Rhinolophus ferrumequinum: one gene and its partners. The protein of the gene in region 1 interacts with the protein of each later gene in a pairwise test. Links are inferred from orthologs where the notes say so. Each region holds a gene or a part of one and is shown in the gene's direction. Other genes may lie near its edges.

Region 1 (7,887 bases):
AGGAGTCAGCTCCTCCCCATTAGCGCCCATCATGCTTTCACCTCCAGCCTGTCCCTGGGGAGCCCCGAGCACATGGGAAAGCTCCACGCAAAGCCCTGTGTATATTAGGCACTGTGGAAAGATCCAGGCGGAGGAGAATTCCCTGTGTCTGCTCTTAAAAAGTGTCAAGTTCGGGGTGGGGATAAAAAAAAAAAAAAAAAAGTGTTAAGTTCAGTTTGGGACGAATACTCGTCCCATTTGAAGAGAATACTCACATAAGAAAGGTCTCTAACATATCAAAGAACACGGAGAAGGAGACTCACACTGGTGCCTGGGGTCTTTGCTTTGTGCTATAGGTGTTCCTGGAAAGGGTGCATTAAATTTGATCAACAAAATTATATTTTAAATGCAGTAGAAGGGTTTATCATTCAGAGAAGCCCCGTTGTAGGTAGTTTTCTAACGTTAATAGTCATTCCTTAGTCTGTTTAGATTTTTACACATTGGATTTTCACCCACTCCTGGAGCACTCATTTTGCGAAAGGCCACAGTGGTAGTCAGTAGTGGGTGGGGTTGAGGCAAGGGTGGGTCATTCCAGGGATTTCCCCTCCAGAAGCTGTGAACCTGGGATGACAAGGCATGAAGAAAGGTGCCTGACAGGTGTCAAAAGAGGGACGGCAGAGGAAGGGAGGGAGCACGCCTGGCTCGGAGGAAGAGAAAGAATTGGGTTTATAGTTGTAATACAGTTTCTCTGTAGAAGACTTTAGAGAAATCAGACAAAAGAAAGACAAAAAGACAGACAAGAAGCTAGAAAGAAAGATAAAAAGCACATGTAACTCCAACACCACCCACCCAGAGATAATCACAGAACTTTTGGCTGTAGTTTCATTTCTTTGCATAGACTCGTGTATGAGTTTATGCAAAGAAATGAAACGACATATGTATATGTATATATATATATACATAATTGTGTATATATATATGTACATATATATATATATATTTCTTTTTTTAAGGAGGTCACAGCTCACAGCGGCCCATGTGGATATCAAACCAGCCACCTTGGTGTTATCAGCACCACGCTCTAACCAACTGAGCTAACTGGCCACCCCTCACATGTATATTTTAACAAAAATGGGGTTGTGGACAAGGTTTCATAACCTTTTTCCGTTTACCAACTGGTTCTGAAGGGACGGTTTGAATTGGAGAGGGAGAGTTGGTGAGAGCCCCGGACAGAGGGGGGAGGCCCTGCTCCTCCCGGAGACCAGTGTGGGCCGGTGTGGCTGGAGGTGGAAAGGGCCGTGGGGGGCCAGTGGGGGAAAAGTGCAGGTCAGGGAGGGAAGTTGAGGCCACATGAACACCGGGCTGCAGAGCTTGGACTTGGTTCTATATAATGTCACCATCATCATCATCGTCGTCATCAGGAGTTACTGGACCTTTTGGAAGGGAACCAGGCTTGAGCAGAGTTGTTCCTTGCAACAGACTGGGAAGGCCAGGCTGGAGGCGTGGCACTAGTCAGGCTAAGAGCTAATGAGGGCCAATTCAGATCTACTGCCCAGGAGGGATGGGTGAAGGGTCAGAGGCATCTCTAGGAAATGTGTCCAGAGCTCTCACTGAGTTCTCAAGAGCCAGTCAATGGGAATCCACTGGGCAGGAAGGAGCTCTGTCCAGTGCTGATTTCCAGGCAGTTCAACTCTTAAGTCTGAATTAGCCCACTCAGAAGAGAAAGAATGGTTCATTTGTTCCCTCTTTTTTGTATTCATTCCTTCATCCAGCAAGTATTTATTGGGAGCTAGGATGTTCCAGGCATTGTGTAGATCAGGGGTGTCCAAACTGTTTTCAACGTTTTTCACCAAGGGCCATATGCGGTAAAATACACACACAGCCGGGCCACTCACTCGAGGTGAAGTACGTATTGCCTCACCTGGTTTATTTAAGTAAACTAAATATATTTTTGGAATTTGCTGCAGGCCAATTAACAATGGATCGTGGGCCGCAGTTTGGACACCCCTGGTGTAGACAAAAGAATAGAGCCAACATCCATGTTGTAATCACCTCTCTTCTCAACCAGAGTCACCTTCCTCTCCCCAGGTTCGAAGCTATAAGGGCCTCATGGATTGTGCCAAGCAGGTGCTGCGGGAGGAAGGTGCACAGGGCTTCTTCAAGGGCCTGTCCCCCAGCCTGCTGAAGGCTGCCCTGTCCACTGGCTTCGTGTTCTTCTGGTATGAGTTCTTCTGTGACCTCTTCCACCACATGAAGAAGGCAGACAGCTAGCCTTGATGGCCACAAGGTGGCCTGAGGTTTCACTCGAGGCGACCTCTTGGAAGAAGTAAGACTTGATCTACAATCTTGTGTTGCACAGAGAGGTGCTGCCTGGTCCATTCGTCCAAGCCAGCTGTCCTGAGCATGGGAGCGGGGCTGCAGCCTTGATCCCACCAGCTTGGATGCCACTGGAAGGGCGGGGGGACTGCAGACTGGGTCTGTGGGATCCCAGCCATTCCAGTCACAAGGAGTTCAGAGTTTCTCCTCTGCCAGGCCCTTACTCTGCCAGCAGCTGCTGTCCCGCACTTTCTAGCCCTCTGCGCCAAGAGCTCTCCTGGCTCTGGGGGAGCTGCAGTTTGAGTGGGAGGGCGGGGACTCAGCCCTTGGCAGGGGTCTGGTCCCCACATCTGGGCTCTGATTCCCACCAACTTATTTAATAGACATTAAAGCTAAAAGCACATTCCTTACATTATTCCTCCATCTTCGCTTCCAAGTCACATCCCTCCTCACAAAGCACGAGGGAAGGAATCTCAGCCTTTCTTAAATTCCACTTTTCTGAGGAGTTGCATCCCACAGGCAGCTTTGCTTCTAGTTCTGGGGAAGGAATCTAAGCTGCATGGGTCACTTTCTAACCCTCCATGTCCAGACCTGCGTGTCTGTAGATGTACCACTCAGGCTCTCCTGTGCCTAGGCAGGACTGGACGCAGGACTGGACGCAGCCCAGGCTCTAGGGGAGGTAGATACCAGCAGCCTCGCAGGAAGCAGGGGTCTTTGTGGAGGACAAGAGGTGGGTAAAGGCAGCAGCCCTTTTCTCCAGTCTACCTGGGATGGCTCCTTTACCCCACAGGTGAGTGGGAACTTACAGCTGGGCCAGTTGGCATCAGCTGCCCGCTCAGCGTTCTCAGCTCAGCATGGCACTGTGTCTGTTTTATAACCCCAGAAGAGCCTGAGCTCTGAAGCAGCCCCGTGAAGGGGGTGGCGGAAGGAAGGGGTTGGGCAGACAGCCTGCTGAGGGCGCAGTTGGTACCCAGGGCAGTTGTCAGAGCACAGGAACCCACAACAGATATCCATATAGGCACAAGGACTTCAGTTAGGGGTATGAGAGAAGAAGAACTACAGAACACAGCCCCCACCCTCTCCATCCACTTGTCCCCAGCCCAGAGGGGTGCTTGGCCTGTGGGGAAGAGCACGCGAGTTCTACGCAGGACTTCGACCTCTGAGCTCTGGCTGTAGCCTGTGCTCTGACTTAGGAAGAAGACACCGGCTGGGAGCTGGCCTGGTGGGTCATGGCTCTCTTTGCCCAGAAACCCTGGGCCCTTCTCTCATCATTACTATTTTGGCTCTGGCCTGGGGCTTTGTGATACGTCTGGGAACCTGAATCCTGAAGCTTCCCTGCCCTTGGCTGCTGACTATGAAGGTCCAGACTGGCTGGAGGGCACTCCCAACGCTCACAAGCTTTTTGGAGCTTAAGGCCGAGGCTTGGGCTGCACGGAGGCAGCTGCTTGAATGTATTTTTTATGAAATTCCTATGAAGTAAACTTTATTTTCTTCATCTCTCCGCTCATTGGTTTCTTTTGCTAAAGCTGAGAGTTCTCATCCATTTTCTAGTGACCACTTTGGTGGCTCTTTTAACAGAACTTTGGCACCAGGAAACCACCCTTCACACTTCTCGTCTAAGCGAAGGGAGCAGGCAGTTCTTTTGCAGCCCCTAATGTATGTCCTCCTGCTACCCAGGGATGACCCTGTCTGGGCTGTTGGGCCCGCGCCTCTCCTCCAGCCCTAGCCAAGAAAGACGGACCCAGGAGCGAGCTCACCTTCAGGGTTACTCCAACACCTCATGGTCGCAAGTTGGCAACTGGGACCCTTTCTCTTGGGTTGGCCCATTGATTTTCAACTTACTTTACCATTATTATGTGTATTTGGAGTACGAGAGGGAGTCAGTGGGATTTGATCCAGTCCTTACAACACCCCATGCCTTCTCTACCTTGGGCGGTGGGAGTGGGGGACACGCTGCCATCACTAGTGAAGTCCTAACCCCTCTAGCCATCTTCTCTACCCTCCCCCCTTGCTCCCTTAAGCCGCCCCGGTATGAACCACGCCCCCCGCAGGCTCCTCCCACGCCGCGCGGTTCGGCCGAGTCTCCTCCTGACGGGGTTTTAACCTGAGCCCCTGGCGTGGGGCGGGAGGGGTGGCACCGCATAAGACCAAGGGCTTCTTGCGAGCGGAGGAGCAGGTCCGGGAGTTGTCGGCACAGGAACCCTGCGCCGACGAGCCACTGTGGTCCCGGACAGGCCCTGGGCGAATCGGGTGAGGAAACGACAGGGGCAGGGGGAACAGTGTCGCGCACTTCGCGCTCGGCCCCGCTTCGGCCCCACGCCAGGAACCTCGGGGCGGACCCGGCGAAGAGAGCAGCGCCGCCGGGGCTCCAGCAGGTGGCGCTGGAGAGGCGGCTCCGCCTCCGACCCGCCGGGAGCGGCCCCGCCCCCGCCCCGCCCCGGGCCCCGCCCCCACCCCGTCCCAGGCCCGCCCCAGGCCGCGCGCTGGCGCCGCTCTAGGAAATGACCTAAGCTGAGGCGAGGCGCGACTGGTCGCACCAGCTACGCCGTGGACGCGGGGCGCGCGCACCATGCCCGCCGAACGGCCTCCGGGCACGCGGGCGCAGTGCCGACCCGGCAGGTGGGTGTCGGCGCTCACGCCGCCTCTGCCTTCCGCGGGACACCGGACGGCGGCCTTCGCTGCCGGCCCTGCGCCGCGGGGAGGGCGTTCCGGGGTTAGGGAAGCTGCCCAGGTCTGGAGACCTCTCAGGTCGTTGTCTCCTTTGACCGGGGGGAGGCACCGAGTTCGGAGAGGTGCCTCCAACGGGGAATACCTCTGGGGGACTCTCCATCCCGCTCCCCTCTTTAAGAGGAAGGATCTAGAATGGAGCCCAGGAATTGGGAGTCCTGAGTGGGCAGGGCCGGGTTTCTGCCACTCGGGAGGCCAGTTTAACCAGTCCGTCCCTGAGAGAAGCCAGCCAGGACAGGGGAGTTCGGGCTCCCAACCGTTAAGGCCGCAGAGGAGGCTCCTGCTCCCACTCACGCAGACCGGCCCCAACCCCAAGGGTGGGTCTTGTGGACTGAGGACTCGGACCAAAGCTGAGCGAGAGGGTTAAGGAGAGGGGCTTGGAAGCCTGCTGGGACGGCGGTGCTTAGCTTGGAGCCCCCAGCCCTCTCACTGGTCGGGAATTGTGCTGGGCCAGCAGCTTCCAGGCCGGCTTCCACAGGCAGGGCGGTATCTAACATCCACCTATGTACACGCCCAGCCCAGCGCACCCCACCCCACCCTTGGTATTAGCTGAGAATAACCCTGCCTACTACTGGGACTGGCAGATTTCACCCTTCATCTCTTTACTCTTGTGTAATCCCAGAAGTTACAGGGGATCCTAAACTGTGCAGCAGGTGCCCGGCTGGTCCCCAGTCTCCAGCAGAAGCCAAGCTTGGGTGTTCAGCCAACCACCAAATGCCAAGGACAGCCCAGGAGCCCCTGTCCCAATCTCTGGCCAGCCCCACCCAGGGTCTGCAGACTGGAACCCCAGCCCCACGTGTCTCCACATCTGAGACATGCCCCTTTACCTCTCCTCCTCCCCAGGTGCTGTCACTAGTCCCACCTCAGTAAAGAGCTGCTGGGGCTGGATGGTCATGGGGGAGCCTGGTAGAGAGGAGTATAAAATCCAATCTTTTGATGCAGAGACCCAGCAGCTGCTGAAGACAGCACTCAAAGGTGAGCATGGGGAGCCCTCGTGAGCCTGGGTCTGGGCCCCCGGGAACAGGACTGGAGGACTGAGCCTTAGCCTGGGAATACCCAGCCCTCCCTCTCCCTTCCGTTTCTGAGGAGTCAGTGACGTAACTCGCAAACTGGAAGACAAGCTACATTCCGACCAGGATTTAGGAGTGAATCATAGTCACCTCTCAGAATGTAAAGTCATAAAGTCTTTTTTTTAAGTAGAAGTATCAGTGAAAGGGCAGCGCACAGAGGACACAGTTCCTGTCCCTTAAGTCCTTACATTGGACCCGGTTCTGCGTTACTACAACCAACTCTCTTGAATATGCAGAGCTGCCCGACTTGGGACAGAGGGTTGAGTGTTCTGCTTGGAAGAGGAGACAGAGTACCTGTCCTGGACCAAGGCCTTCCTGCAGCACTCAGGACAAAGTTTGACTAAGCCAACAATTACCAGTGCCCATCACACGCCGAGCTAAGCCTGTGGGAAGGCCCTGGATGGCCCGCTCATGTCAGGGGTTCATGTGTGTGTACTGAGAACTTTCTTCTGTGATACCACTGTCAAAAACATTGTTATTCAGTGCTCCTTCCTCAACCTAGTGCTAGGAGATGTGTGTCCTAAAAAACGAGCATTCTTTGATTAGTCTCTGACAGCCACGTAACCACCCCTGTTTCCTCTGGGTGGGCCACGGGGAGGCTTATGGTTGGAGCAGCTCCTACGTGCGGTCACTTCTCCGTGTGTGTTCTGGACGCTTTGAACGTGAGCATATAACGGGTGCACTCTTGTGTAAACATCTCCAATCCTTAGGAGCGGGCGGAGGCAAATGTGATAATTAAGCAGATCGAGACTGCCTGCCTATCTTTACGCAGATCCAGGTGCCGTGAACTTGGAGAAAGTGGCCGATGTGATTGTGGATCATTCTCTGCAGGACTGTGTGTTCAGCAAGGAAGCAGGACGCATGTGCTACGCCATCATCCAGGTTGGGTGGGGTTGGGAGAGGAGGGGAGACGCTGAGCCATCATCCGGGTCGGGTGGGGTTGGGAGAGAAAGGGGGAGATGCTTTGAGGAAGGAGCTTCAGGAGTGGGCAGAAGCCTGGCCAGCAGGGCGGAGATGCAAAGGGCTTCCGCCAAAGGCAGACAGAGAAGTAAGCCACGAGGGTCCTCAGCCATGGAAGCTCAGGTTGGGGTTGCGACGGCACTGCTCCCCGCCACTCGCCATCCTTTCCCTGGTTCATAGGCAGAGAGCAAGCAGGCAGGCCAGAGTGTCTTCCGGCGTGGACTCCTCAACCGGCTGCAGCAGGAGTATCAAGCTCGGGAGCAGCTGCGAGCCCGCTCCCTGCAGGGCTGGGTCTGCTATGTCACCTTTATCTGCAACATCTTTGACTACTTGAGGGTGAGGCCCCAGCAGCCATCCTGTGTGGCAGAGACAGCCCGTCTCCCAAGGCTACTAAGCCGGTGCTCTGGCCCGTTCTCCCCCACAGGTGAACAACATGCCCATGATGGCCCTGGTGAACCCCGTCTATGACTGCCTCTTCCGGCTGGCCCAGCCGGACAGTCTGAGCAAGGAGGAGGAGGTGGGTGGCCCTGGCATGGAGGCTTTCGAGGTCATCACTTCCTGGGGCAGGAGCCTGGTGGGGGCAGTTAAAGCCTGTCAGTTAACAGGACAAGCTGCTAGGTCTGGAATTTATCCACAGCAGAGCGGCAAAAACCTACTGGCTCAGAGGCTTCCTTCCCAGTGGGAGAGCCAACCTGTGACAGGAATGGTGAGCGCCCTGACCAGCTGTGGATAAGTGGGCAGAAACCAAGCCAGGGTCAGGCAGTGTGGGGGAGGTAGAAAAGGGGGGTGAAGCTGCAGTTTGGAGAGAGGGCCTGAGTCCAGCCTGGCCCAGATG
Region 2 (7,627 bases), on another chromosome or scaffold:
GTGATGGGGAGCCAATGGTGAGCAAAACAAGTAAGGCCTTTGCTCACCGGACTCACAGTTGAGTGATGATGAAATCATCCTGTTACAAGTCAACAAGTCGCAGTTCAAGTTCATCCAATCAGCATCTCAGCAGAGATTCAGGCCAAAACAGCCAAGTACAAAGTACCCTGGGAAAAGCTATTGCACTCTGATGATTGGTTGGCTCACCTGCCTCAGCCAATCAGAGGCCAGCTGGGCTCTTAACCAAAAGTTAAAAGTTAAGTCCCAGGTCCCAGGAAAGCCTTTATTCTGCCCTTGGTTTTGGTTTTGTCACCCATTAGTTCCTGGAAGTGGGTTGCCCTGAATACAAATATTAGATTTGCCACTTACTAGGCCATTTGATCTTGCCGAAGTCAACTTCTCTGAACCTCAATTTCCTTATTTGTACAATGGAGATAAAGTAGGAAAGTTGTGAGAATTAAATGGGGGGTGATTCAAGTAAATCGTGTAGGATGCATTAAAAAAATGTTAACTCTTTTTTATCTTTTCAGTCTAACCGAATCCGAATTAGGACAGGAGGGTGTTTATCTAGTCCGCAGCTTCAGGAGAATGTGCCCTTCCCGTGTCTTGGTCTGGAGAGGAGTGCGATTCTCACTGGCTTCTGGCTGGATACCCGCCTTTTGGAATAGAAACATTAGCTGAGGGGGAGGGAGTGGTAGCCCTAGTAGAGCGTGCCCTATTGCCCGGAGCTGCTCCAAACAGACGGGCTGGTTTCAGTGTTCCAGTTGGAGCCTCAGCTAGATTAAACAAATGCCAATGAGTCTTCCCTGAGAGCACTCACCTAGATTAAACAAATGCCAATGAGTCTTCTAATAGGTGCAGGCAGTGAAATAAATAAAAAGAAATTCCAGCAAATGCCCTACAAATCCAATGCAAGCAAAAATCCTATCCTCAATTCCCCAGGTGACTATGTTTAGCTCTAGGAATTGTGTTTCAGTGGAAGCAATGTAGGCATCATCATATGAGTGCTAGAGCAGCTGCACTTTGTAATGAAATAGCAATTGATATAGGGCACCCAGTGGGCACCCAGACTTCAATTTTTGCTCTAATGACCTCTGCCACAAAGGACTTACAATTGAGTCTTTTAGTGCTGCTGCTTTTGATTTTTATGGAAAGCTTTGCTGTGTAGATGGTTGAGTTAAAGAGTAAGAGGGTGAGATGCCTCAACATCTAGTTTTTTATCTTTTTTAAAAAAGTGATTGCTACAAAAGTAAGACAAGAGCATTATTCCTCAGAAAACCAATCTGCAGTGTCCCCTAGGGTTGCTGCCCAACAAGGAGTTAGGCCATGGTGCTATCTCCCAAAAAACAATGTAGCCTCCAAGCAGTAGCTCATTGGTGCTGAGGATGCTGGGAACTAGACTAGTCCTTTGGGAAGACAGTATGGTGTTTGGCATTCTCACTTCTGTAGCATAGTGTGTGCATGCCCTGTTTTAATGAGTGATTAAGAGCTGAGAAAATATTCTTATCCTTCCTCCCTTTTTATACAGTACAGATAGACTTATTACTACCTGTATTTTTTAAACTTCGATTTTTTAAATTACATTGCATTGTCTGTTTTCTTTTTAACTGACATATATGTAGAGTGCAATGCACAGATATTAGGTGTACAATTCCATGAGTTTTGACAATTGTATACACATGTGTAACTACCACTCTAATTAAGATACAGAACATTCATCAGCCCTTAAAGTTCCTTTGTGCCCTTCCAATCAATCCTGCTCACCCCAGCCCATCCCCAGGCAACCACTGTTCTGATTTCTATCACTATAAATATCTCTTTTTAACTTATGTAAATGGAATCATGTACCATATATTTTTTTCATGTCTGGAATCTTACACTCAACATAATGCGATGGCAAATCTCTCATTTGTGTTGTTGCATGTATCAGTAGTTCATTCCTTTTCTTTTGCTCTTTAAATCAATGTTATTGAGGGGTGATTTATATAAAATAAAATGACGTTTAAAATACAGGCATACCTTGGAGATATTGTGGGTTCGGTTCCAGACCACCACAGTAAAGCAAATACAGGAATACTTCAGAGATACTGCAGGTTCAGTTCCCGACCACTGTGATAAAAGCGAGTATTGCAACAAAGCAAGTAGTCGTCTTTTTGCTAATGGAGTGTCTTGCCTTCAGTTTGTAAAAAACGCAACACCTGTGAAGCACAATAAAGTGAAACCTAGTAAAACGAGGTATACAGTTTTAACAAATTTATACATCTATGTAACAGGACTTCAATCAAGTATAGAGAACATTTCTATCACTCCAGGAATTTCCCTTGTCTCCTGCCCAAACTTCCCCCCTCCAGAGGCAACCATTGTTAATTTTTATCAGTATCGATTTCGTTTTTCCTATTCTTGAATCTCATATAATGGCTCATACAGTATGCATCTCTTGTGTCTGGCTTCTTCCTTCAACATATTTGTAAGATTAATGTATTTCATCTCGTTTATCAGTAGTCTGTTCCATTTTATTGCTCAGTAGTATTCCGTAGAATAAATATGCCATAATTTGTTTATCCATTCTGTTGATGGACACTTGTGTTGTTTCCAGTTTGGGGCTATTTTGAGTAAATCTGCTATGAACATTTGTATAATCTTTTTGTGGACATATATTTCATTTCTCTTGGATAATAAGTAGTAGTAGAAATGCTGGATCAAAGGGTAGGTGCATGCTTAACTTGAGAAACTGCCAAAAAGTTATACAACAAAACCATTGTGCCATTTTACATTCTTTCCAGAAGCCTATGAGTTCCAGTTGCTCCTGACAAAGTTTCTTTGCTTGGCCAAACTTTAGTCAGGCTCTTGAGCCTTCTGCTAGGCCAATCTGTGCACTTCCTTGTATGTTTTAGCAAGAACCCTTGATATCTGATCACCCTTAGTATCTGATCATGTTCTTCATCTTCCACCATCCCCTTCCTTTGATGTCTGATCACTCTGGGTTGTCTTCAGCAAGAATTGTGTTAGGCTGGTTACCAGAACGCCCCTAATGTTTCCTCCTAGTAATTGTTCATCCACTCATACCACCTCCTGCCTCCTTGGCTATAAATTCCCACTTGCCCATTGATGTTTAAAGTGAGCCCAAGCTCTTCCCCCCACTGCAAACATCCCATTGCAATGATCCCTATACCTATTGCAATGGTCCTGAATAGTCTTCCCTACCATCTTTAACAAACGTCGTTGAATAATTTTTTAACATTCCATATCCTTATTAACACATGGTGGGTCAATTTTTAATTTTAGCCATTCAAACGGGTGTACTGTGGTATCTCATTGTGACTTTGGTTGCATTTTCTTAATAACTAATGATTTCGAACTCCTTCCATGTCCTGACTATCCTCTTTTGTCAAGTATTCAAGTCAGTCATACATTTTGACATAAATGTTGCAATGATTAGAAATGTGTCCTAGAGGGATACATTTTGAACTAAAATCTGTTAGTCTATTCATACACATATACATTAAAAGATATTTATTGAGTCTACTATGTGCCATGAACTTTTCTAGGTTCACTAACCAGCTGTGTAACCAAGATATTTAAGGTCTTTGCTTTTGTTTCGAGTTCATATTGTAGTGGGGAGACAAAAAGCAAACTGGCGACAAACAAGATGATTTTTGGTGGTGTGAAGATGCTCACTGAGGTATCAACTGATGATAAAACATCAGAAACAACTGATATCCCCAAGGGGCTAGGAGTTGGGGAGTTAGGCAATTTATGTGATATGAGCTTGGACTATTATAATGTTTTTAAATTGATAATTATGACATTAAAAAACACTTAGCCGTATAATAAGGTCAAATGTTAAATTGTATATATACTTTGTTTAGGACTATGTAAAATACCCGTGCTATGATGTGTATGGACAATGACCGGAAGGACCCAGAAGGAAAACAAGAAACGCTGCTGTATTTTTTGGACTGGTGGAATTATGGGAAAGCGGGTTTAAGGGCTTTTGGTTATGTTTTGTTTCTTGTCGTCTTACCTGTTGTCACGTTAAGAGTAGAAACTGGCACCACGTGGTATTCTCACGGGACTTTCTTTTGTGTAAGGCTTTAGAGTTCAGAGACACATTTGAGACGAGGCAGGTTTAAGAATAAAACTTCAGTGTGAAGCATGGCAAAGTGAGAGCTAAGAGCTTCACTACGCACGGCTTGGAGATTTTGAGGAACGAAGAGGCTGCGCGCCTCAGGAAACCCACAGAAGCTTCGAGCGCGCGCCTGACGAGAGGCTGCCAGGCTGGGAGGCGGCGCGGCGCGAAATGGTGACGTCTCGCGCCAGGCAGGAGCTGACGTCACTTTTCTCACCGCCGCTTCCGGTCCGCGAGAGTGTCGGTCTCGCGCAAGCGGGGGAACCGGGGCAAGTGTTGGCGTGCGGTGCGGTACTTTTTTTCGCGAGTCGGACTCCCTCCCTTGGGACCATGGCCACCGACTCGTGGGCCCTGGCAGTGGACGAACAGGAAGCGGCTGTCAAGTCGGTCAGTGTCTTCAGCTCCGGGCGGGGAGAAGGGGCGGTGGCGGGCCAAGTGGACCCGCTTTCGAATCCAGGGAGCCCCACAGGTGGGGCAGGCCCGGGGCCCACCGGGGAATCAGCCCTGATGTGCGCCTAGAGAGACCAATATCGAGCCTTTTTCTTCATCTGGGCCTGTTAGAGACTTTTATCCTGTGGCAAATCTGACCCCGTTACATAGGCTGTCTTTTCCTGTACTGCATCTCCATTTCTGTGGGGATTGTAAGGAAAGGCGTTTAGATGCTGATTCTTTCTCATCTGTTTTCTGAACGATTCTGTGCTTATTTTAACATTTTTTTTAGATCCATGCTTAAAGTGGTTGGCAGTTTGTAGCTCTTTGCAGAATAACAGATTCAGGTTTATATATATTTTAGTCTACTGCAAATATTGGCGAGAGGCACGACAAATTGTTTCATTGATGTTTAAAGTAACATTTAGTTTCGTAAACTGGTTCTTCTTTGATAAATGAAGATCCATTCAACTGGAATATAATTATAATTAAACTGTAACTTTCTGTTTTTGTGTCTAAGTTTAGATTTGTTTAGTGATAATGGACTTGATTTTAGGAATACAGTTTGTTTTTTTGGTGGGTTTTTTTTTTTTTGGTTGTTTTGTTTTTGTAGTCTGAAATCTTAAATAACTTTTTAATACCTAAATTACATTCTTCTCCAGTCACCCTTTATTGCGTTGGGAGAATTGTCAGTTTGTCAGCAGATATTTGAAATGGGCTTAATTCCTTGGAGAATAGGAAGAAACTTTACAGTCTAGTTAGGAAGGCTAGAAAGTGGAAAGTGCTGTGAAAATGGTAAGAAGAATGATAACTGAACTCGGACAAGGGAGAAGACATTAATGAGTAGGAAATTCCTTTTCAAGTAATTTACATTTGAACTGGATATTAGAGAATGAGTCATTTAAGGTAGAGATGGAGGTGAAAGGCATTTTAGGAAAATAGAATGCATAAAAGTGCTGCACTTGCTTAGAGAACAGGAATCATAACTAATTTTTGCTGAGTTACTGGGTTGTAGTAGAAGCAGTATAGAAAATATTGTAGGGAGTATATTTTTGGACCTTAACTAAAAACTTTAAGAGGAGAGGCTTTATTTGGTTGGTTTGGGGATTTTTAAGGATATTAACAAAATTAGATGGAGTGCTGGCAAGATTTGTTGGACTACAGAGAACATAATATATTAGAAGGAATGAATAGTATCCAAAGGAAAGGAGATCAGTGTGGAAATGATGCCAATAGCCCAGATAGAAGTCATATGTTGGGTGGTAAAAGTGAAGATTGGATTTAAGAGATAATTGTGGAAGTATAATAGAAAAGATTTAGAAAATAGAAGGGAGAGGAAGGCAAAGATACTGTTTTCAATTGGATCCTAATAATAGGACTAGGAGAGTGGGAAGAAGGGCAGTTCTGATATGGAAAATAGTGAGTTTACTTTTGACTGTTCCAAATTTGAGGTAAAGAGGACATCTTGGTAAATACCTGTGTTGGGAGTTCTGAAGAGTTTTCCAAGTTTGATAATTTCCTAGGAGAACTCACGGACTCAGCATATAATGGTACTCACAGCTATGATTTATTCAATGAAAAACTACAAAGCAAAATTAGCAAAAGACATGGGCTCATGGAGCAAAGTCCTGAGAAAACCAGGCGCAAGCTTCTAAATCCTCTTCCAAATCTAAGAAAGAATGAAAAGCGTATGCTAAAAGTAAAAGGGTGCACTAGAAAGAGAAGAGAGGACAGTAAAAGAAATAGTGGAAGCTATATTGGCCAATAACTATGCAAAATTAATGGCAGATGCCAAAACACAGATCTAGGATGCTTTGAAAACAGCAAACAAGATAATTGCTAAAAATGTAAATATGTTTAATTATGTATGTTGTAGAAAATCAAAGACAAAGAAAAAATCTTGAAAGAAAAAAGATGATAAGTCACATGCTCCACTTAATGTGTGCTTAATTCCTCCTGCAATAGATTGTAACAATACATCAAGTGTTGTCAGGAAAGCTCATTAGACACTCAGTGCTCAGAGTTTTTGTTGAGGGGCCTGTTACATAGTCATCCTCGGCTGAGCCTATACCCAAATTCCAGATTCCCAAAAGAAAAGCAGGTCTTAACATGAACCACATGTTTTTACAAGCATAGGGACCCCCTCAGAATTTCTGAGAATGGTGGGAGCCCTCTCAAAATCCATATTCCCAGATGCCAGCCAAGGGCCAACCTTGCAAGCTGGCTTTCCTAAGGATAGTAGTCAGCCTTGCTCTGTTAACTCTTTTCTGCACAGCACCCATTAGACATTTGGAAATGTGGTACTGGAGTTCTGGAGAAGAAATCAGGTCAGATGTATAAAACTGGCAGTTGTCCACAAAGAAATCAAAAGGTATTATCTAGTATATGGTTCTGGCACTCTAGAGTTTACAATCTAATGTTTAGCATCAGATCTTCCCTAAAAGATAATTACCAAGAATTGGTTTCAAAACTTTTTAAACCTATGATCTAATCTAGCTGTGATATGTCACAAACGTAGGCCTTAACATACTTGGTACCTGGTTCTAACCAATCTGCTTATCAGAAGGGTGGTGTAATTAAATGTTTTAAAACATTGCTTCTTCACAGTTGGAGAAAACCCTCCCCCACCCCCATTTTATTTTACCACATAGACTTGTGTACATTAACTTAATAAATAATTCATGGTATTATGTTATCCTGTGGCTTGCTCTCAAGTGTTTTTAAATTTCTTTTCAGATCAGTAATTTGCAGATCAAGGAAGAGAAAGTCAAACCAGATACCAATGGTGAGTCACTAGTAACTGTAAACTGGATACAAGCTACAAGTTTGCTTCAATTTTGCACTCTTAGCTGCAGTGTGCAAAGGAGCTTTCATTTAGCATGTTTGGCAAATGTCAGCATTGGATTTGACAGCCAGTAAAGTCAGTTTCACACAGAAGGGGATATATTTTTCCAGATTTTATCTAGCTTGTGACTCTTTAAAATCAAGAATCATTATTGGATTGTACTGTCACTGTTCACTTGATAATGTTTCTTTAAAAGTTTTTAATTTAGTTTTTAAAGTTTAATC
Region 3 (7,999 bases), on another chromosome or scaffold:
GGACAGGCTGGAGACCTCCTGAATTTTTTTCTTATCTGCTCTAGCCATTAGCCACTGTGAGGACATAACTAAATTGGACCAGTCGCTCACACCTGCATGGTAGAAGGCCACCACCTCCATCTCACCCTACCCTCATTATACCATCATTGTAATACCACACATATGCCCAGTAGTTCATTAATATCATTATAACAGACTGAACTCTAGGAAGGGACATGCACAGTCTAAGAAGATGAGGTAATGGCTCCTTATCAATCACAGGTGTCAATCAAGTGGCCCCACACCTGGAGAGGAACAACCCATCCTGGAGGAAAAAAAGACAAAACCTCTAGTCTCCTGTGAGCCACCACCCTTGAGCCCTTTGAGCCTTTTGAGCAGCTTCTTTTGCTCGGGACCTGCTCCAAACCCTTTGGAGTGTACTTTTGCTTCTAACAATGGGCTTTGAGCCGCTTTTCTTTGTGCTCAGCCCACTCCTAATTCTTTGGAGTGTACTATCTCTTCTAATAAACTTATTTCACCACTTTACGTCTGTGTCTCGTTCAATTCTTTGCTTCAGATGCCAAGAACCTGGACACCATGCCGAGGAGGACCCATCCTCTGGTAACGTAGCAGCTAGGATTCCCAGTTTTCCTCCCCGAGGCCCGGGTTTGACCCTCGGTGTGAGAGACAAGCCCGGACACTGCCAGGTTCGACCCCCAGTGTGGAAACCAAGCCCAAGCATCTCACCGAGAAGGGCCCCCTCTCCGGTAACAACTCCAAACCTCATACTCTTACCCATTCCACTATTACCTACATCATCTTACATGTCCAAAACACATGGGTATAAAATTGAGCTACTGGTCATAACAGGGTTAAAAATATTGCAGAAAAATATTGACTTTCCTTATGTAAAATATAATAGCATCCTACTTAAATAGAAAATCAAGCTTAAAAGCCAATGAGAAATAAATCACCTGAATTAACTTCCCAATTCACAGCAACGCATTAATAATTATCATTACACCTAACATTTGTTGAGCACTTCATATGCAGCAGGCACTGATCTTAGCTTTTGATCCTCATAACAACCTTATAATGAGTTACTGTTATTATTGTTTTTAACACTGAGGAAACTGAGGCAGTAAGGTTAAGACAGCTAAAGGCAAAAACCAAGAGAGACAAGTGTTTGTTCTGATCCAAATGGGCCCAAAAATGTTAGGCATATTTAGCCTAAACAATCTGAGAAATGGGTCAGATTTATGTGCCACCACAATTAAAATGGAAAGCCAAAATTGTACAAATTGTGATTTCAAAGTAAAAGAAAAGAATATAGATTGTAGTCTCAATAATTTTGCTGTGTTGCCAGAGTTGTTGCTGTTAGGATAGCACCTTCACTAATGAAAGAATTTGAGACAAATTAAAAATAACTGTTTTTTTCATTCACCCAGTGGCATACGAGGAAAAACTGTAATTGAGGCCCCAAAGTCACATTCTTCCAAACATGAATTTTCTACAGGAATTTTTCAGATAATTATCCAGTTCTCCATGATATTTTTCTCTCATAGATAATGTCAACTATGTAATAGAAAGCTATCTTTTTTTTTCTGGTTTATACTTAATTTTTTTAAATTAAAGTTTATTGGGGTGACAATTGTTAGTAAAGTTACATAGATTTCAGGTGTACAATTCTGTATTACATCATCTATAAATCACATTTTGTGTGCACCACCTAGAGTCAGTTCTCCTTGTATCACCATATATTTGATAATCGAAAGCTATCTTAACGCATCATGCAAATTGCATACTTTAGGAAACTTATTATTCTGGACTAAGCAATAGGCCTGTTGGTAAGAGTGATTGCTATACATATGGCTTGCTTGGCAATAGAACATTGGTAGAACCTCACCTTGGGGCATGAGCAAGATAACAGGGGTTCAAGATGGTACAATTAAAATACTTAGTTTTGGAAAGATGTAGTCCTAGTTCTAACTCTCCCGTGGCACCTAAGCTACTTTTAGCATCTATAAAATGGACTTAGAATGTTCATTTATTTGCTATCAGATCAAGTGGGGTTGGCCGAATAATTGTTTTCAGATCATAAGGTGCTATAGGAATTAGCTGGGATCTTAAAATAGAGATCCTGATTTAGTAGGTCTGAAGTGGGGCCTGAGATTCTACATTTGTAATAGGCTCCCAAGATATGTTATCTATGCTGCTGGGGGATCACACTTGGAGTAGCAAGGGCCGAAACTGGAGCATGAAGTTTTTCATCTGTTTGTTCAAAGACAAAGATTAAAAGGTTTGATGGGGGAGGGGGTGCGGAGGGGTTCGTTCCCCATCTATTTATTCATCAAATGAGTGTCTGTTATGCGTTAGTCCCTGAAGATAAGCATTAAAGAAAGCAGACACTACCCTGCCCTCATGGAGTTCCCAGCCTAACCAGTGAGAGCTACATTTAGTGAAAAATGACAGAACTCACCCAAAGGCACCCCCCTGCTGGAGCCTAGAATTGTCCATTTGCCCCAAGGTACCTGGGTGCGTTGATTGGCTGGCGGGACTGGCTTCCAGGCTTCAGCCAATGAGGCTCGGGCGGCTGTTAGTGGAGGTAACTGCCATGCAGTAGGGCGATGGCTGGGGTTGCTGGCCACGTCCGCGATCGTGCCCCGGAGCGCTTTCCGTTTGCCCTACCGGTGGGAGACGTGAGTATTCTTAGAGGGTAGACATGAGACCTTTTTTTCTACATTTAGTTATCGTCCTTGCCCCCACCCCATTAACTGTTAATAATAACAGCTAATATGTATTGAGTCTTCTCTATAGACTGCGCACTGTACCAACGGCCTTAACCTTGTGATCTCATTGAATCCTCGAACTGTGAGACAGGTACTTAGCGTGATTTCAGAGGAGGTGGAGGTGGCCTAAAGTCATGTGGGAATACATGCTGGAGGCCTACTTGATATCCAAGATGCTCTTATTCCTGAGTCCTCTTTCCGCACTCCACTTTGGAGACCAGATTCCTCCTTAACAGGAGTTTCACATTGTGCAGGTGTGGGGTGGCATAGGAGGGTCTAGAATCCTGATGCTTATTTTTAAGCTTTTTTTTTAAATAGAAAAAGCAACACATGCTAAAGGCATTTATGGAAAGGAGAGCTGCTGTCTCTTGGGATAGCTATGCAGGCAACTTCATTTGAGTCTTATTTTATTTCTTAAACCCTGAGGGGAGAACCTAGATGTTTGTTATATTATCACCTTTCTTATTTGTCTGAAATACTCACATGCACATGGAAAATAAATTTCAGAGTATAAAGTGTACACAACAAAAAGGAAGTCTCTCCCACCCCAGATTTTCTGAAGCCCCTCACTAGAAGCAGCAGCCACTGTTATCAGTTTTGTGTGTATCTTAAACATTTTGTATAGTAGGTACATATACGTGACTTTGTTTTGTTTTGTTTTTGCACAAGTGGATTCTATTATATACATTCTAGCACCTTGGCTTATTTATTTTTTAACCTCATTAAACTTGAAAAACATCCATTAATTTCCTTTAGCCCTGTGATCAGTATAATTTCTCTGGAAAAATATTCCCAGGGTTGCTTCTGACATGATGAGATGTAGGTCACGGCTTCCCCAGCTGGCATTTTCCTTTTTCTTTTTGCAAAATCCTTACCTATATAGGTTCCAAATAAATCTTCCCTAAATTAACCCCTAGAGGGTGCAGGAGAATAAGAATCATGGCAAGTAAAGGATTGAGGGGAGCTGCTTTATCCTTTCCCAAACATTTTGACTAATAATCTCCAGGTAAAATTCCACATAGAGCTCACTACTGCTTGAAATGAATTTATCACAGTGGAATATTGGCAAAGTGAGATATGTGGGGATTAATTTTTCAAGTTGCATGAAAATGCACAGCTTCTTTCTAGTGAAATAACAAAAGGAGAGAAGCTTGTATGATTAATGTTAGAGAAAAGCATCTGTCATACTTAATCCCATTTTCACCTCTTCTAAAAAGCATAAGGTATTTTTGCCTTTTTAAAAACCTTCCCAGTCACACAACCCTTACACGGGAGAGCTGGGATTCTGATCTAGGCACAGTTAACTTCAAAAGTCATGCCGATTGGGAGGCGTTCCCTGGAGTGAACTCTTCCGCTCATTAAGCCTCATTCACCTACCAACTTCTTCATCCCTGGCTCTTGTCATTTCCCTATAGAAATTCAGTTGTCTGTTCAGCTCCACAAACATCCCTGCTCTTTCTTGTCTCTGATCCTCTACCTGGAACACATTTCCCTAGTACCTTCCTGGAGTATTTCTCAAGGTGAAATTCCTTTAAGTCGTGTGGCCACGTACTCTGTGGGACAAATTTTTAACCAGTGTCTGAGAGGGCTGACTTCCAACACCCTGGCCCACACCAGGACATTTGAAATCACCAACCTGAAAAGTGAGAAAAAAAGATCTCGTTTCAGTGTGCGTTGTGGTGACACCCGTAATGGTTTTGTGTTTCTGTGTATGCAATCTATGTGAGCTGCTTCTGTGCCACTGTGCTGGGCTCCGGGAATGGGGCTGTACAGCCCGTTCACTAGAGCTTAGGCCCTTTAAGATAACTACCTCAGCCTGCGGTTCTGGATGTTGGATAAAAAAGCGTGAGTTAGGCAGGGGTGAGGGTGGGGGTCAGAAGGCGACAGAAGCGACAGCCCCAAAAGGGTCAGGGCCCGCGCGGCCTCCGACGTCACTGCGGCGCGCCGTTTCCGGTCCCCAGCGCCGAAGCGTAGGACTTCCCCCTCGGTGGCGCCGAAGCCGGGCTTGCTGCGACCCCCGGGAGCCCACGATCGCGCCGTGCCAGCCAGCGAGTCGGCCAGCACCAGCGTCCCACCTGCGCCTGGGACCATGGCCACCGACTCGTGGGCCCTGGCGGTGGACGAGCAGGAAGCGGCGGCCGAGTCGGTGAGTTGGCTTCAGCTGTAAAAGGGTCAGAGCGCCAGTTTTGGCTGGGGATCAGATCTCTGGGAAAGGACGCTGCCTGGGCTGGTCAGGGCCGGGATGGGGTGCGGGAGGGGATGGAGCCTGGACCCTGAGCTGGCTTTGTTTACCCATCCGCTTCCCAAATTACGTAAGCGCGGTTAAGTGCTCCCACGGATAAAGAGCCCAGCCTGCCTGTCTTCCTGTAATCCCGATTGGTCGTAGGTTGATTGCACTCAACAACCTGGATTGTAATCCATTTTGTAGGTGTCAGTTTCCACCTCCCGATTCTGAGCTTCTTGGGTTTAGGGACCATGGGTTATACAGATCTGTGTGCTTCCTCAGCTTACTAAGTGATGATGAATGAACCACTCAGTAGGTCTGGCAGGCAGTAAATCCTCTCTTGATCTGCTTAACTTTGTTCTGGGCCTGACATCCAGTAAGCAAGATAAGGAGTTAAACGTTACTATCTAGAGTTAATTTCTCCCACGTAGGCATTCTCAGTTCTGATAGTGCTTTGAACTTCTGTTAGTACTTATTTCTGTGAATTCCTGGAGAACAAGGACTTTGTCTTATTTTCTATAACTGATAAAAAATAAGTGTTAGGCACGGCTGGAGGAATGAGTTTCTGGAGACCAAAATTGGTCTATCAGAATTTATTTGGCATGTTTGAGCTGCGGGAGGTCAGGCTAGAAAAGACCATAAACTCCCTGAGTGAAAAGGGGTATGGAGTTTTATAGGAGGGGGTAAACGAGGCTATTCCCCCTTCAATGCTTCAGGGGGGTTTCAGGGTACGACCAAGCCCTCAGGTTCCACATTCTAGCCCCCAAGCCTGCTGATCCTAAGCCCCTAGGAGACAAACACAAGCCAGCAGGTACAAAAGACAAAGCAAGACAGAAATGGCTTTTAGGATAAGCAGGTTTCTGCTCTTGGCCTAAACATGGCCTAACAATAAGTAATATGCACATAGTTCAGAGAGTCAAAACTTTTAAAAACTGGTTCCCACCAACACCACCAATTTTTTCCTTCCCAGAGACAACTGCTGTTTCTCTTGAAACTGATTTACAATATTGACCTCCTTGTTCCCTAAATAACATGCTTGTTTTGCTACTTCTTGAATTTGCAGCTCTAGGTATTTTTTGATTTTTGACTCCTTCCTCCATCCCACCACACAAGCACACCTTCCCATTCCTTATCTTTTCATTATATTTTAGTTACATCAGTATTTCAGGTTTATATTAGTAATTTATGAATATTTTCACTTTCCTGTAAAACTTTGTTTTTCCTTGGAATTTGTAATTGTCATGTGTGTTTGCTTTGTGTTCTCTGTACTTATCACCAAATTCAACCCCAAGCTCTTTGCTAATGAAACAGGGCCCGATTGGCACCGCCATAGTAAGGGCCTCTCCCGTCCTTGGCCTCACCTTTCCTTGTCCGACCTAAAGCTTACTAACAATAATAGATCAACCCCCTGTGGCTGGAGCTCAGAATGTCCCCTGTCCCACCCAGTTCCCTGTTTTAAATTACCCTGACCCTTAGGCTTATTGATCACAATCTCAATTGTCCAGCATTCTTTCCAGTCTAGTCCCATCATTGTTCTTGGGTTCCTGACTCTACCAGAGAATATCACTGTAGCCTCTGGAAGAACACCCAGATTTTCCTTTAAATACCCACACTGGACTGAGAATGTTAAGGTAGTTTTTGGAGGTGTTAACCCGCTTCCTTCTCAGACCACAGGTGCTCTGATAATAAACGCTTATTCTATGACCCAATTCCTCTGTCGGTCAGTTGGCTGAGCAGCGCAGGCAGCACGAGCCCCGGACTTGTTTGGCTTCCAGTTTTACTACTGTGTTTCCTAGAAAATAAGCCCTAGCATTATTTTTCAGGATGACATCCCCTGAACATAAGCCCTAATGCGTCTGTTGGAGCAAAAATTAGTATAAGACCTGGTCTTATTATCGGGGAAACACGGTAGTTGTCTATCTCAGGATGTGCAGACACAGCAAGTATTTTATCAATTTCACTTTTCCCAGGTCTTTTAGCCTGCTTCACATTGAACTAGTTCCCCCTATGTTCAAAGCACAATGATTTTGGGGGATGGAGGGGAACAGGGCAGATTTCCCTTTGCCTTCATTCTGGGGATTCTCTCCTCTTCTGTTGTATTGTATTCCCTCCTTTCTCTATCCCCTCTCTTCATCTTTCTTGATTTGGTGGAGCCATTCATCAGCTTTCTGGAGGTGTGTTGGAAGTAAACTTTTTTGTTGCATTTCCTAAAACATCTTATTTTGCCCTATCATTTGGTTAATAGTATGGCTGGGTGTAGAATTGTAGGTTGGAAGCTATTTTCCTGCCAAATTTTAAAGGCATTTTTCCATTGCCTTTTAGATTTCTGTATTTGATGTTGAGATGTCTGAGACCATTCTGATTCCTGTTGTGACCTGTTTTTCCCTTTCTAAGCTTGGAGAATTTTCTGTTTATTTCCAGTATTCAGAAAATTCATGATGATGTGTCTTGGTAAGGGTCTATTTTTATCCATTTTAATGGGCACTGAGTGGGTCCGTTTCAATCAGGCAAATTCTTGGCCTCTGTTATGGGAAATAGTCTTGAAAATTTCATTGTTGATTTTTTCCCCCATTGTTTTTTCTACATTCCCTGTTTCAAGAATTCTTATTAGTTGAATGTTGGATCTCATGGGCTGGCTCTCTAATTTTTTTAAGTCAAACTTATTGAGGTATAATATATAGCAAAATTTACCCCTGTTCTGTGAATTTTGACAAAGGTATCCAGTGGTGTAACCACCACCACAATGAGATTTTCTCAACTGCTTTATAACCTATTTCATGTTTCATTTCTATCATGTCTTTAATTTCAAGAGCTAACGGTTTTCTTTTGTTGAAAGAAAACTGTTCTTTTTTTTACAAACAATATCCTGTGTTGCTTTAATGGCTATAATATCCTCTCATCATTTTGAGGATGTTAATATTAGTGTTTTTTTCTCTTTCTCTCTGCACAGTCTGTTTTCTATAAGGTGCTTTTATCTATTTCATATCTATTTTTTCATGATGAAGAC
Region 4 (8,313 bases), on another chromosome or scaffold:
TTTATCAGTCTGTGTTTGGAAACAGTGGTCGCTCAATGGGCTGTTGGTCAAATTGTGGTACGTACATTTGTACACGTGTGTGAATCCACATCCATGAGACATTTCTAATAGTTGAATGGCTGGGTCAAAACTTTAGAATTGCACATCCTCTGAAAATCTAGTGGGTATTTTTGTAGGGATTGCATTAAATTTGCAGACTTCAGGGGGAAATTGACATCTTTCTCTTTTTTTTTTTTTGAAATTGACATCTTAATGACAAGTCTTCCCTTCTAAGAACAGGATTGGTCCTTCTGGTTATTCAGATATTCTTTTATGTCCCTCATAGCATTTTTAAGTTTTAATATATTGTAAATTTCTTGACTTGACTCAGGCATTTAACGCTTTACTAATATAAATGGGATGTTATTTTCCAAACAGTGGTCCTTTGTCCAGAGAAAGATTATTGACTTGTATTAATTATTGACTTTGTATATTGATTATGTATTTTTTTAACCTAGCCAACTTACTGAATCCCCTTATTTTTGGGTACTTTTATAGTTGAGGTCTTCGTTTCAGATATATAATATGCTATCAAGAATAATTTGATGATTCACTTTAGCATAAGGAGTAGAAATTGTGTCTGTTTCCTGCTCTGAATCAGCCATTGAGGCTCAGCGGGGTGATGGGCTGTCCCTCAGGGCTGAAGTTCTAGTGGTGGCCCAAGTGACTGGCTGCTGTGAGCTACACCCACCTCCATGCACCCTGAGACCACTGGCCCAGGCTAGGCTTGTGGACCCAGGAGGGGCACTGCTCTGGTTGGGTGGGGCAAAGGAAGGGGACACAACTTCCAGCAGCTCCTGCTCCTTGGCTGGCTGCAGGGAAGTTCTTCCTTCCATCAGAGTTCAAGTTCAGACTTTTCCTGGGAAGATAAACCTGGTGGAATTGGAGCATTGATAAGAATAGTGATTGTAGTTAACTGACATACATTTAATTAATGAAATCCACTGATGCTGAAAGCCTCGTTACCATTTGAGGTGACTATTAAATGTCACACTTTGAAATCATTAAAGGGAGAAAAGCAAGCCTTTATCCAGAAGGAACTGTATTTGATGATAACCAGATGGTGCCTGCTGATGAGGAGAACGCTCTATTTCCGATAGAATGGCAGTTTATAAATGTAGGAGAAATAGTAGATTTAGGTAATCATTCTGCAACCCCTAATGATCTAATTTATTCAGTCAAGAATCATGGCTGGATTTGGGTGGTTTTTTTAAACCATATAAACCCTTTCAAGTGTACCATTCAGTGACATTCAGTGCACTCACATTATTATACAACCATTACTACTATTTCCAGAACATTTTTATCTTCCCAAACAGAAACTGGAGCCATTAAACACTACCTCCTCATTCCCTCCTCCCTGTACAGCCCCAATAACCTCTATTTCAATTATCTTGAGAGTATACCTAGGAGTGGGATTGCTGGATCATATGGAATTTCTGTGTTTAATTTTTTGAGGAACTGCCAAACTGTTTCCCATCACAGCAGATGGTTTTTTCATAAAATAACTTTCAAGGCACATCTGAAACACTTGTGCACTTCCCAGATCCCTGCCTACTTTTCCCCCAGACGCAGCCACTATGAGAGTGTGGCTATGTCTCCTTCCTGTCCATGGTTTTTGGCACTTACCACATCTGCATGTCCGTACACTTAGTATTCTCCGTGTCTTTGAAAAAGATAAATGTTATTCTACTGCACATATCTATCTGCAACCTGCTTTTCTCCCTCAAGCATGTTTGGAGTTTTTAGAAAAAGGCCAGCTGTAGAAAAAGTACAGTGAATTCCACAACAAACAAAATGGTCAGCGTTTGTTTCTCCTTTCAGTGTCACAAGGAAGCTTCTCTAATACCCTGTCATTGCCCCGGTGACCATTATTGTGCACATGTGTAATGTGCTTGTAGGCTTTATCTACACTCACATGTAGCCATCTGTGACTACTATTATAATAGAAAACGTGGACAGCGTCAGACAACTACTGATCAGCACCACCTCTATTCCAGTCCCAGTTCTCAGACTGGGCGTGTGGCAATACCGTAGACAGACCAATAAATTTCTGTTGTTAAAGCTGCCCAGTCTGTGGTACTTTGTCATGGAAGCTCTAGCGAACCAATTGAAGTTGTTCCTGGTTTTTGGCCATTGTGAATAAAGCTGCTATGAACAATCCGTGTCTATATTCTAACGCATGGCTTTTTGTGGACATGTTTCCATTTCTTATGGAGAACACCAAGAAGTGGAATCCATATTGTGAGTTATAGCAAACCCCCCTGAAGCTGCTGCAGAGTTTCCAGAGGACGGCATATCATGCTCTCGCTCCCCTCCTCAAGCACATTGCAGAGCTGGGTTTGCTCTGTGCTGGCTGCTGTCCTTTGGAGATGCCAGATGTAGGAAGAAAGTTGGTGCCACCAAGAAGAAACTGAGGAGGGGCTCTGGGACTTTCCCCCATCCACCCTTGGATTCAGTCTTCTCCCCACTGCCCCATGCTTCCTCCGGCCTCCTTTTACGTTTCTTTGGGAAGTACTTGACTTTTTATAAAAATGATACATCCTAGATGTTTAAGAAAAAGTATTCCATGCAGAAAAATACCAAAATGGAAGTAAAGATGAGGCCAAATCGAAACACCCAGAAGCATCCATGTTTAGTGGCTAATGTCCTCTGGGCAGTACAGTGTCTCTCCAGGGGTGGTGCTTGTATGGATGAGGCAACATTTAGCTAATTCTTTATTCATGATGGTTGCATAGTTTTCAGTTTTTCAATCCTTTAAGCCACACTGTGCTGGATACTTCCTTACAATTTAATGCACTTGGATGTATATTTCCTCTCCTAGGCTAGTCCTAGGAGAGGGTATGGAAGGTAGTGGATGTACAAAACATAGTAAAATACATTTATATGTTACATCGCGCATATATTACATAAACACTACATATTAATACATAAAGTATATAAAATAAATTTTATATTTATGTATATATTTATATTTAAATCAAGATAATATATGCATACACATGGTAAAAAATTTTAAATACAGCAGAAAAGTCCAAAAACAAGATTTTCTCCCCTGATGCCTTTCTCAGAGCATCCCTCAGCAACAGTTTGATATTTCTTTTCTGAAAATAGTTTGCATATATCTACATATCTATGTACAATTAAAGATTTACACAAATTGGTTCCTATAGCATATGCCACTTTACATCTTGCTTCCTCCTCTTATCGTGATTTTTTAAAACATGAGCACAAATGAATCTACTTCTTTCAAGACTGCATAGCATTCCATAGATAATGGAAAAAACATACTTTAATCTATTTAACCAGCCCTACCAAATGGACAGATAATTGTTTCTGACTTTTGCTATCATGAACAATCCTGCACGGGTATCTTATTTTCACATCTTTGCAAACATTTACAAGTTTTTCTCACAGTTCAAATTACTAGGTGGCTCAAAGGAAAATACATCTGTGCATTTCAAGTTTTAGTATATGTCAAATTTCCCTCCAAAAAGTTTGCATAATTTCACATACCAACAAAAGGTACAAGCCTCTGTTTCTCTACATCTTTGCTACCTTTGGGTAACATCACATTTTTAAAGTTTTGCCCATCTGCTACGTTGTTTGTATTTTGCATTTCTTGGAGTAAATTTGAGTAAGTGCACAAATGTTTATTGGCCCTTCGTACAAACTTTATATTTTCATCCTTATTTCCAGACCACCCTCTTTCTTTCACTCACTTTCCCAGTCTCCTTCCTGGTCTCTTGCTAATTCATTCTTTTCTACTTTACCCTCTATAGGCTTCCAAAATAATCTTTCTCACAAAAAAATCTGGTCATACTGGGTCACCTCTCAAAACATGTCAGTGATCTCTGGGGTGGCTGGATGGCTCAGTTGGTTCGAGTGCAAGCTCTGAACAACAGGGTTGCTGGTTCAATTCCCCTATGGGATGGTGGGCTGTGCCCCTTGCAACTAAGATTGAAAACAGCAACTGGACGTGGAGCTGAGCTGCGCCCTCCACAACTAGATTGAAGGACAATGACTGATGGGTCCTTGAAAAACACACTGTTCCCCAATATTCCCCAATAAGAATTAAAAAACAAAAAACATGTCAGTGATCTCACCCATACCCACTGCCTACAGGATAAAGAGACTACACTCTTCAGTTTGGTTTAAAAAGTCCTTTATGATCTGATTCCCACTCTGCCCCCCTAAATGCCCATTAATTGAGCACTTACTACATGCAGTCACCCTGTGGGTGCTGGGGACCCACAGGTGAACAAAGTAGGCAAATGTCTGCTTTCTGCAGCTGACATTCTACAACAGTGTTTCACATAATGAAACTTTTTTCATTATCACCCTTGTAAAGGAAAAGGATGGAATTGTCTTTAAATTTAATGTAAGTCAATCAATTTCAATTTAATTGCATTTAATTTCTCCCTAATGACAGAAATTAAATACTTAGTAATAAGATTTTGTCTGAGAGGGTTGGTTTTGGAAGGCCACAAGCCATTGTAATTTTTAAGGATTTTTGCCCCCCACCCGAATTAATTTTGGTCCCCTTGGGAGCCATATCGCTCCCATTGAGAATGCATGCTTTAAAGGGAGAGCTGTACAATAAACAAGTAAGTGTTAAAGATTATATCAGAGAGCCAAGAATTTACAAAGGAAAGAAAGGAGAGTGCTTGAGGGCGCCACTTGACATCTTGAGCATCTGAATCAGGAAGTGCTTTGGAGACGAGGAAGACCAGCCTTGCTTTTTTCAGCTGCAAAATGGAAATGATAATTTTCTCCTCACAGTGCCTAGCACACAGCAAGCGCTTAATGAGTTGGCATAATTGTTATTATTAATTATTTTACTTTATTATTTTTTTACTGAGGTATAATTAACAATTAAAAACAAAAAGGTAAAGGGATAAGCCCTGAGATAACGCTTCTGCTCCTACTTGGGTACTAGCGCGTAGCAGCTCACACAACTGGCGCCTCCCCCTCCGTCCGCAAGGGGCGCTGTGGGCCCCGCGGCCGGGCTGTTCTAGGCCGCGGCAACGGAAGTTTCAGTTTTCCCTCACTTCCTGTCTTTGGCCCAGGCTTGGGCTGCGTGGAGGTTTTGCGATGCCGACTGGAGACTTTGAGTGAGTCGAGGGTCGCCAGAAGGTGGGGTGTGGGGGCGGAAGGTGCCTTAAGGGTCCTCGGGGGTTTTCTGGGGCCTGGGTACGCGGAGGCCGCGGGAGCCTCGCCTCGCTGGCTCACCCCTTTGCTCCCACAAACTTGTCCCCGCAGTTCGAAGCCCAGCTGGGCCGACCAGGTGGAGGAGGAAGGAGAGGACGGTGAGTACGCCAGGTCGTCCGGTCACTGCGCCTGCTCTAGCCCTCTACCTTGGCACCGCCGGCCGACCCCGCATCGCCCCCCACGGCCAGCCTCTGCCCCGCGCCATCCCTATCTGCGCCAGCCTGTCGCCAATTCCAGATGTTCACTGGCCAGTCCCTCTTCCTCCCCAGGCCTCACAGCCCAAGCCCTCATAGCCGCTCCCCTACTCAGGAGGAAGTTGTAACAGCCTGCCTTCTGCCTTTGTACCAGCGCCCGGATGCTTTGATGGCCTGCCCCTCCCTGCCTTTATGCCAGGCGGCCCCCTATCCTTGCCATTGCTCTGGGTCACTACAGCCAGCTCAGTGTCCCCGCACAGCTGTCCCTGGGTACTTCCTGGCCAGCCCTCTGCCCCCGGTCCCACCTTCTTCAGGTCCTGGCGTGGGCATCATCCTAAAGGTCCCTGTATTTCATTCAGCTTGGGAGCTCCCGCCCCTTCACCTCACTTCTCCTCCCCACACTCCCTCTCACAGACAAATGTGTCACCAGCGAACTCCTCAAGGGGATACCTCTGGCCACTGGCGACACCAGCCCAGAGCCTGAGCTACTGCCAGGAGGTGAGTGATGACCTCCACTCCATGCCTGGGCTGCCTCTCTCCCCAGCCACATTTCCGCGGGGACCCCATTACCCGTGGCTCAGTTCCTCTCCCCTTCTCCCTTCATCCAGCTCCACTTCCGTCTCCTAAGGAGGTCATCAATGGAAACATCAAGACAGTGACTGAGTACAAGATAGATGAGGATGGCAAAAAGTTCAAGGTGAGGCTGGGAGCAGGGGTGTGTCAGGCGGGTCCTTGGGCCCAGGAGCCTTGAGGACAGGAAGCCCAAATGTCTCCTCTCCTCTCCTCTCCCATCCACAGATTGTCCGCACCTTCAGAATTGAGACCCGGAAGGCTTCAAAGGCTGTTGCAAGGAGGAAGGTGAGACCCTGCTCCCTTGTCTTGGGGGCTTACCCCAGGGCTAACTCAGAGGAATTAAGAATCCTTTTTCCCAGTGCCTTTATTTTCAGAAGTGAGGTCTAAGAGTTTAACCGATTTTATTGGAGGAGAATTGAGGCGAGGAGTGTTTGTACTCTGTTGAGGCCCCAAACAGTCCAAGTTGCAGGAGTGGTTGGGTAGCTTCTTATGCTTCTTGACTTGTCTACCAGGAGGAACAAAGCTAAACGTTCCCCTGAGGTGGTCATAGCAGTGGAAGTGGTAGCAATAAATCCATTTGGCACAGTTATCTGCACACTGTGTGCCAGACCCCATGCCAAATGCCCTGTGGGAAGTGTTTTCTCATTTTGATCCCCATAGCAACCCAGGGAGGTGGGGAGCATTTGTGATCCCCATTTTATAGGAGAGGAAGCTGAGGCCCAGGTTGTTTAGCCCAAGGCCCCCGAAGTTTGGATGACCCCTGCATACTCCTGAGCATTACTCCCTGGTGGCAGCTGGGCCACCACCTGCACAGCCCCCCCAGGAGCTGTTGGCTGTGCAGGTGTTTCCCTGAGCCTCTGTTCTCTCATCTGGAATATGGGGTGAGAACTGCCCCTGCCTCCTGGAGCTGGCGTGAAGCCTGGCACTCACTCAGGAAATAGGAACTGTCATCGTCACTGCTATAGGGGGCATTTGGAGAGGGTGGAGAATGGGGTTTAAGGCTCAGTCACCCTGAAGGGCGCTGTTGCAGGTCTGGGTACCAGGGGGCGGTGGTCCTACCTGCTCTTGCCCTGACCTGTCCCCACCCTGCCCTGAGCCCAGAACTGGAAGAAGTTTGGGAACTCAGAGTTTGACCTACCAGGGCCTAATGTGGCCACCACCACGGTCAGCGATGATGTGTCCATGACTTTCATCACCAGCAAAGAGGTAAATGAGGCAATAGGGCGGGAAGGTGCTGGCCAGGCTCTTGGTGGCAGGGGTGCAGCAGCCCTCCTCTGAGCTGCCCTTGTCCATCCTGTCAGGATCTGAACTGCCAAGAGGAGGAGGACCCGATGAATAAGCTCAAGGGCCAGAAGATCGTGTCCTGCCGCATCTGCAAGGGCGACCACTGGACCACCCGCTGCCCTTACAAGGACACGCTGGGGCCCATGCAGAAGGAGCTGGCCGAGCAGCTGGGCCTGTCTACTGGCGAGAAGGAGAAGCTGCCTGGAGGTGCCGGGGGCTGGGGGTGCGGCTGGCAGGCCGTGCTGCATGGGGACCATGGTGGAGGGGGAGGCTGTGTGCCCTTCTGGAGAGTCCTGGTCTGTCACCTGCTCTCTCTGAACGGGCTGTCCATCGTAGCTGTTGTTCCCACACCACAGTGTCAGCTCCGCAAAGCCTGTGGGCTACAGTCTGTGTTTGTGTGTGTGTGAGAGACCGGCCGGGTGGGTGTTGTGACGGCTGGTGATGTCACCTGTCTCCTTGTCGGGGGCTGTGAGACCTGCTTGTGTGCATGCCTGTGTACCTCACCGGGAGGAGTGGGGAGACGGCGACCCCGTGAGTGAGACATGCCTGCAGTGATTTTGCTGCGGACTGGAGATGGTCTGACGTGAGTGTGCCGTGTCTGTCTGCCATGGTGCGGCGGCTGCCCCGTGTGTGCTTCTGTGCACACACACCTGCGAGCAGACACACAGCTGACTGTCTGCGGTCCTTGTCCTTCAGCGTGATTTGCTGAGGGTAAGTTTGAGTCCAGACAGCTCTACATCTGACTTTTGGGTGCGGCGTGCTTGTCACCTGCCGTGTGTCCCCTGGGGCTTTTCCCTGCCCCATGTTGCTCTGTGGTGAGAGTAGGCTGAGTATTCCTCAGCTCTCAGCCTTGTAGGCACTTCAGACCCAATCAACCCTCATGCCTTTTGCTCTTCCTGCGCTGCTGGCTTCCTAGGTGTGAGCTTTATGTGATCATGGCCACCAGGCCTCTGAGGGACCAACCAGATCCTTGTGGCTTTGACAGCTGGTGCCCAGGCTATGTCAGGCTGGA

Evidence for each region.
Region 2: the proteins of MIF4GD (region 1) and ATP-dependent RNA helicase DDX19A interact in binary tests that used the Homo sapiens proteins (3 or more experiments, as listed by UniProt). The two-hybrid records come from large-scale screens. The link is inferred for Rhinolophus ferrumequinum from reciprocal best matches to the Homo sapiens genes MIF4GD and DDX19A.
Region 3: the proteins of MIF4GD (region 1) and ATP-dependent RNA helicase DDX19B interact in binary tests that used the Homo sapiens proteins (3 or more experiments, as listed by UniProt). The link is inferred for Rhinolophus ferrumequinum from reciprocal best matches to the Homo sapiens genes MIF4GD and DDX19B.
Region 4: the proteins of MIF4GD (region 1) and EIF3G interact in binary tests that used the Homo sapiens proteins (3 or more experiments, as listed by UniProt). The link is inferred for Rhinolophus ferrumequinum from reciprocal best matches to the Homo sapiens genes MIF4GD and EIF3G.

Annotation. Positions count from the first base shown.
Region 1 is NC_046304.1:50,290,037-50,297,923, reverse strand, and holds the start of MIF4GD (MIF4G domain-containing protein), read left to right. Parts: upstream 1-4,383; 5' UTR 4,384-4,545; intron 4,546-4,742; exon of another isoform or gene 4,743-4,914; intron 4,915-5,865; 5' UTR 5,866-5,909; coding exon 5,910-5,997; intron 5,998-6,864; coding exon 6,865-6,974; intron 6,975-7,232; coding exon 7,233-7,388; intron 7,389-7,476; coding exon 7,477-7,569; intron 7,570-7,887. Other genes in the region: SLC25A19 (mitochondrial thiamine pyrophosphate carrier), read left to right, coding at 2,068-2,250. UniProt on the Homo sapiens protein: Functions in replication-dependent translation of histone mRNAs which differ from other eukaryotic mRNAs in that they do not end with a poly-A tail but a stem-loop. May participate in circularizing those mRNAs specifically enhancing their translation.
Region 2 is NC_046298.1:21,991,850-21,999,476, reverse strand, and holds the start of ATP-dependent RNA helicase DDX19A, read left to right. Parts: upstream 1-4,338; 5' UTR 4,339-4,459; coding exon 4,460-4,516; intron 4,517-7,294; coding exon 7,295-7,343; intron 7,344-7,627. UniProt on the Homo sapiens protein: ATP-dependent RNA helicase involved in mRNA export from the nucleus.
Region 3 is NC_046298.1:22,020,607-22,028,605, reverse strand, and holds the start of ATP-dependent RNA helicase DDX19B, read left to right. Parts: upstream 1-4,712; 5' UTR 4,713-4,857; coding exon 4,858-4,914; intron 4,915-7,999. UniProt on the Homo sapiens protein: ATP-dependent RNA helicase involved in mRNA export from the nucleus.
Region 4 is NC_046301.1:40,042,099-40,050,411, forward strand, and holds the start of EIF3G (eukaryotic translation initiation factor 3 subunit G), read left to right. Parts: upstream 1-5,049; 5' UTR 5,050-5,133; coding exon 5,134-5,153; intron 5,154-5,301; coding exon 5,302-5,348; intron 5,349-5,858; coding exon 5,859-5,942; intron 5,943-6,052; coding exon 6,053-6,141; intron 6,142-6,242; coding exon 6,243-6,302; intron 6,303-7,118; coding exon 7,119-7,223; intron 7,224-7,318; coding exon 7,319-7,508; intron 7,509-8,313. UniProt on the Homo sapiens protein: RNA-binding component of the eukaryotic translation initiation factor 3 (eIF-3) complex, which is required for several steps in the initiation of protein synthesis.